Kluyveromyces lactis: one gene and its partner. The protein of the gene in region 2 interacts with the protein of the main gene of each other region in a pairwise test. Links are inferred from orthologs where the notes say so. Each region holds a gene or a part of one and is shown on either strand. Other genes may lie near its edges.

Region 1 (3,244 bases), on a different chromosome or scaffold from region 2:
CACTGCATTATAATAAATAGGATGTTGAAAAAAGCAAGAACATCATGTTTCCTGGTCTAAACCGAAACTGCTACCGCATCCACAACTACTGGTCATACTTCCTCCAGTAATCTTGAAAGTGGAACCGATTAATTCGGTACTATATGTGAGAGTGGTATCGTTCAAAATCTTTAGGGACTGCTCATCAATAACAACTTCGCCGATGGAATCAGGTAATACATAAACGATATCCTTAACAGTCTCAAAATCATCTTCGTCATTCAGGTCATCGGTTTCTTGTTCCTGGTTACCGATTTTCTTGTCAGATTCCGGTACCAGCTTCAAATTGTACTGAAATCCGTGACATCCACCAGATTCAACCGTCACCCTAAGAATCTCTTTTGAAGCCTTGTATATCTCAGCCAGTCTCTTGGAAGCTCTGTTGGTGATGCTAAAATGCAGATCCGGTACTTCATTAATAATCTTTGCTGGTCTGATCGGAGTATCCAATATCGATGATGGTGATGATGATTGCCAGCGTACTCCCAAGGCAGCTCTAACGGGGACCTGGTTCAGTATCCGGGGTGCAAGCGTCAAAGGAGTCCTAGAATATGGTAATAGTCGTACTGGCCACATGTTGTTTGGCTCACTATTCCTCTCTTGTATGTCTTTACGATATTCATTGTATGTACTTGTGAAGTTGAATCATCGTTTCGCTTATTAAAGAATTTCATTCAAGATAATAAGAGGAATATTGCCTATGAGCCGGGAATATCATTAAAAACAGTATATAATGCTTGGCGAGGGTGTGAAGCGAACTGTATATAGAATCAACCATTATATGTCATGTGCTATGCGAACACGCTGCACACGGTACAACTAGCATCCCTTTCATGCCTGTAAGAGAACATGGTTGCACCAGCTTCTCCATTATACATCGTGAAAGTTGGACATGTCTCAATATCGATTTTATCAGTGAGTAAGTCGATAGCTTGTTTGCAACATTGACCAGCAATGATTGAGTTTGTAGTAGTAACGCTGGGTATAATAGATTTTAGTACGCCCAGAACGTATCTTGTTGTTAGAGTTGAATGGTGTATGTTGAATTCCTCCGCTCTATGTAATGATTTTTCGTACAACCACTGTAGATCATCGGGAGACTCCAAGTCATGAGGTCTGTTAGGAAATTCTCGAGGCCAGAGAATGATGGAAGCGTATTGAATGCAGTGTGCTAGGGTTCTTGGGTTGGATGCAAGTGTACAGAGCGGATAAGTTTCTGTATTTTGCGGCAGCGTGGAAAGAGAACATTCGTAACATGAGGTGAACCCAGGCACTATGAGCTTACAGTTACCCATAAGTCCCTCCGTGGCACCGTCTATGAAAGGTATTACGGTCTTGAAGTTGGATTTGACAGTTACATCGTGTAATTTGAAGTTGATCCAACGTCTTGCCTCGATAGAATCGAGTCCGGATACGATTATATCGAATTGTGAGATGAAGTCATCGTTGAACTGAGTCAAATCTTGATTGTGAGGCACCACATGCACAAAACCTGTAACTCCATTCTTGCAAGGTATTTGCAATCTATTGATAGCTTCTGCAGCTACAGACGCTTTTGGTTTGCCAATATCACGGGTACTGAATAGAAATTGACGGTTCAAATTGGTCAATTCGATGGTATCCATATCGACAATATGTAATTCTGGCAAACCGTACAGCGCCAATGTCTTGACAATCTCACATCCAAGACCACCGGCACCAAGGATCAATATTTTTACATCACTGACATCCATTTTGCTTGGAGGATATTGATCTGGTCGGCTCGATCAGTAACAGTTAAGGGTTGGGTCTGATCTTTATAGAATAATATTCACGTTTCTTTCAAATAAAGTGCGAAGTCTATGTGTACAATTTAACACTTAAACACGAAAGAAACTGAACAAAAGCTACGATAAAACATCCTATTGAGGTATCTTAATAGTTGTATACATACACGCATGTACATTTATATACATATATACGTGTTTATTTATAAGAGAATGGTGAGAGATGGATGAAGAAAACACATGATTGGAAAACGCAACGATGCGCGTCCCGATTATTCAGCTTTGACACCACCGTTACCAGCCTTTTCAGCAGTTTCGATAGATTTCTTGTCAGTCTTTGGTTCACTGGCACCACCGGCACCACCGAACAAAGATGGAGTCTTGAAAGGTCTCTTCAAATCACCAGAAGCTGGTTTTCCGAACAAATGAATTTGAACTTCGTTATGTTCCAAAGCGGACTTGATTGGTGAGATGGTTTGCATGAACAATGGGTTGGTGTATTTCATGTACAAATGCATGAAACCCATCATAGCCAAACCAGTGTAGATGGATTTAATGGCAGAATCAATCTGTTGTAAATCGTAATCACGAACGGTAGTGACTTCCAATTTTTTCTCGGTTTGACCACCCAATGGGTTAGCTGGAGCCACGTATTTCAAAGTGGCCAAATCGTTCTTCTTAACGATTTGAGCTCTAGCGTATTGGTAGATGGACCAAGTGATGGCAACAGAAGCGACATAAGCGATACGGATGTACAACACGATCGAAGGATCCTCCATATCCAAACGACGAGATACTTGCATCATGATCAACATGATGACTAGGTTACTGATTTGAGCATTCATGGTGGTGGTTAGAGAGTTACAGCTGGGATTGGCTTGGTAAGAAAGAGCACTTCTCTTCTAACTATGAATTGCTTATCGACGGCAGATTCCAGTGGACAAAGGACAACTAACTAACTAATTATTAGAAAAGGCATACATAAATCAGTAAGTATATAAAGTTGAAAAAGAGTAGTTCCGATAATACGTGCAACAAGTAGTAGTGCATCATTTAATAGATACGTATGTGAAAAGATGGTATACAGATTTTATTTTAAATTCCAGTCTGAATGTGGAAGAAGTGACGAGAAAATCTTTTGACGATGAGAGAGATACCCATTGTGTTACCCGGAATAACGTTGAACGGTGGCGAAAATACAAATATAGCAAATATACATATATCCGGGTAACATAAGCGGGCGCGTTATAACAGTAATCACGTGACTAGAAGAGCCACACTTTTTTGACAGCATACACCGAGCGTAGAGAAAGAAAGAGTTAGCTGCGCTAAGTTGTTACCCGCACCTCGGAACAAACCGGATCGGGCTATGTCTGTGAATGTTCCTTTCCCCTGTAGCAACATTCTCTCGTATTTCTTTTTGTGAACTTTGGTCCTTC
Region 2 (3,617 bases):
AAGGCGTAGAGAATCTAACCAAAATATTCCACGATTGGATTTTACACGATAGAGCAAGATTCGATCACAGCGTAAGAGCATACGTTGCATTTATAAAATACTACTCAAAGCATACTGCATCATCGATCTTCAGATTCCACTCCATGGATTTCATCGGCGTTGCGAACTTTTACGGGTTGTTACGTCTGCCACGTATGCCCGAAATAACCAGGTATGCTGCCGACCAAATTCCGGAGGAAGGTTGGTTGGTATCACCACCAGTGAATTTAGACACATTTGCTTACTTAGATAAACAAAAGGAGAAGGCGAGGTTACAAGAATTACAAAACCTCAAGCAAATAAGCGATAAAAAGAAACTGAAAAGTGAGCTAAAGAAGAAGAACATGGCATGGTCCGATAAGACACTAACTAAAGAAGCCAAAGCTGAAAGAAGAGCAGCTATGGCCATCAAGAGGAAGGCAATTGAAGAGAAACTTCTGCGGGGCGATGAGGAATCAGAAGATGAAGTTGAGCAAGACTGGAAAGACCTTGTAAGACAAAACAAGAAAAAGAAGCATAACTCCATGCAAGGAAGTTTCGATGATTTATAGTCAATTACATATCGTAGATAAATCTATTATAATATAAATGTGCTTGTTTCATTCGAGTCCCCGTCATATAACAATGTGTTTTCAACCGGTACATATTGATGTGTCAATAATTTCACGCATTCTTGTGATACCATTGCACCAAGAATTGATGCCATCGCAGGGCTGACAAACGTTGTATCATGTCTATCGTTTTGTAGCGATAGCAACTTATTGAACTTCGGTTTTTCACTTATAGTTCTAGTTGCCGATGAGAGGCTACCCATTTTAATTGCATCCAAATGTTTTAAGTTCTCGAGCATTTTATCTATGAGTGGTTCAGGTATCAAACTATAATTCTCCTTTGCTAGAATGCGCATGATTTCTGATTTATCCTTGGCAGCTTTACGTTGATATACTGCTTTCTGCGCGTTGAATAGTTTAGTTGAGGATTCCATATCTGGAATGAATGCGGACACAGGTAAATCGCCTCTCAAATCGTAAAATATTCTGATGCATCGTACAAATTGGTATACCCATCGATTAATTGTAGAATTAGGTTCAGCATGAAAACTATTCAAGATGTTGGTCAAATTGTGAGGAAATGGTCCTGATTGATCGTATAACAGGAATGAGGACCTCTCTGCTTCCACAAAGTTCAAATCATTGGTCAAGGGTCCAGAGAGTATAGAATCGTGAAGTTCGATGAACTCTGCCCTCACTGATTTTCTATTGATAGGAATATTCTTTGACTTTAATGATTTTCCCACATTGTACAGTAGAACGGAATAAGGCAAGGAGGATACCTCTTCCTGTGACATATTTTTTACATCGAATGATTCGTGATATTCTGCTAGTTCAGGCCACATACGATTGAGTCTTAAATCGAAAGTGAAATGTCCATGAGAATCAATGACACAATGAGGTTCACTGCCTATAAGACGAACAAATCCCAAGTTATCGTTGGTGGATGCCATTATCAGAGGAACTGCTGAGAGTTTCATGACACGTTGTAACAACGGACCAGCCGTGCACAAACATATGACAATAGAGAAAGAGTTCCATAACTTATGTTGTGAATCAATTGGAACTGCATTCTCGTTCCAAATATGGAACGTAACATCTGGATTCATACTTTCTAACGCATCAAAACCTAAAATATCCGAGTTTGACTTGTTCACAAAATCTGATCCATTAGACGAGCCAAAAACTACAGTAATCTCATGAATACCCATGAGAGCCAAACTCTTGACACATTCTCGCATCAACAATGTCTGATTATCGTCTACAACGCACACATGAGACTGAGAAAGTAAATCCTGGCCTGAATGGCCCCAGATCATCAACTGTCGATCATAACGGTCATCCAAACCACCATTTATCTGATCAGCCATAACCTGTACCAACGCCCTTGGTCCTTGATCTTTAACACTAGTTCTAATGCAAGAGAGCCCGCCTTGATTGGAATCAAATGACGTATTTATCATGAGATGAGCTTAAAAGTTCAAGCGAATCAGTTGGATTACCAAAGTTCAAGCTAGATCAACTGCATACCGTTACCCGGACGAGTACTTCAGCATTACCCTAAAACTTCATAAGAGACTCTAAAGAGCCAACATAAGGCCGGCAATACACTGTTAGTTCGTCATTTCCTGGCCCTGTTTTTGCTACGGCTATATCATAAACCAACACCACCATCACCAGACAAAGCGGAAGCAGGAAGTACTATAATATCATCCACCTACATACGATTCTTTCCAGTCTCGAATGATAAGCCGAAAAGAAGAGTCGAACAAAAGTTTCTGAAGAAACCAACATAGAGAACCGTGCCCGCAATTTGCAAAGAAGAGAAAAATTGCGTGGCTCATGCCATGTCAATGTCCCTAGAGAAAGTAAGTGTGGGTCATGTTCTGTTTCTCTTTCTCTTTCTATGCATTTTTTTTTTTTATTTGGGAATAACTGAAAAGGGCAATAGGCAGTAAAAAAATAATCAGAGTTTCTTGGCCTGGGACAGAACCTTTTTTGCTATCTACATATAACTTTCCTCTATATAAAGTAATTGATTATCTTTCTACCTGTCTTGTTTTCTGACGGATTAATTTTAGGGGTCTTACGCAGGTATATCAAGTAAACTTCGATACATAGTTTAATCTAGTTGAATCGAAATTTTTTTTGGGCCAATTTACTCTTCTAGTGCTGCTTTTAGATTAAGAAATAGGGGAAACAGAAAATATTCGATATCAAGAAGTTAAATTAAATACCGATACTAGTCTCCAAAAATGCACAGAACTTACTCTTTGAGAAATAAGAAGGCTCCTACAGCTTCAGAGCTCCAAACTCCAGCTCCACCACAATCTACTACCAAGTCTAAGTTTTTTGGTAAGGGTTCTTTTGCCTCCAGTATCAGAAAGAATACTGCTGGTCAGTTCGGCCCATTGTTATCTAGAAAGCTATCCTCTTTAATTAAGACCGAAAAGGGTTACTTGAGAGCTTTAGAAGTTGTTGCTAGTGAACGTCGTGTTGCTGCTAAACAATTGTCTCTATGGGGTTCTGAAAATGACGATGACGTGTCTGACGTGACTGACAAGCTAGGCGTTCTTATCTATGAACTGGCTGAATTGCAAGACCAATTCATTGACAAGTATGACCAATACAGAATTACTTTGAAATCTATCAGAAACATTGAAGCTTCTGTGCAACCATCAAGAGACCGTAAGCAAAAGATTACTGATGAGATTGCTCACTTGAAGTACAAGGACCCTCAATCCACCAAGATCCCAGTTTTGGAGCAAGAATTGGTTCGTGCTGAAGCCGAATCGTTGGTTGCTGAAGCCCAATTGTCTAACATTACCAGAGAAAGATTAAAGGCTGCTTTCAATTATCAATTCGACTCTGTGAGAGAATTAGCTGAGAAATTCGCATTAATCGCTGGTTACGGTAAGGCCTTACTAGAACTATTGGACGATTCTCCAGTGACTCCTGGAGAAGCTAGAGCCGCTTACGATGGTTACGAAGCTTCAAGACAAATCATCATGGATGCCGAATCAGCTT

What was found.
Region 1: the proteins of ULA1 (region 2) and UBA3 interact in binary tests that used the Saccharomyces cerevisiae proteins (3 or more experiments, as listed by UniProt). The link is inferred for Kluyveromyces lactis from reciprocal best matches to the Saccharomyces cerevisiae genes ULA1 and UBA3.

Annotation. Positions count from the first base shown.
Region 1 is NC_006038.1:830,506-833,749, forward strand, and holds UBA3 (NEDD8-activating protein UBA3), read right to left. Parts: upstream 1,773-3,244; coding exon 831-1,772; downstream 1-830. Other genes in the region: ISA2 (Isa2p), read right to left, coding at 43-615; SND3 (Snd3p), read right to left, coding at 2,078-2,650. UniProt on the Saccharomyces cerevisiae protein: Catalytic subunit of the dimeric UBA3-ULA1 E1 enzyme.
Region 2 is NC_006041.1:1,270,102-1,273,718, forward strand, and holds ULA1 (Ula1p), read right to left. Parts: upstream 2,054-3,617; coding exon 617-2,053; downstream 1-616. Other genes in the region: ATP-dependent RNA helicase SPB4, read left to right, coding at 1-590; lipid-binding protein LSP1, read left to right, coding at 2,846-3,617. UniProt on the Saccharomyces cerevisiae protein: Regulatory subunit of the dimeric UBA3-ULA1 E1 enzyme.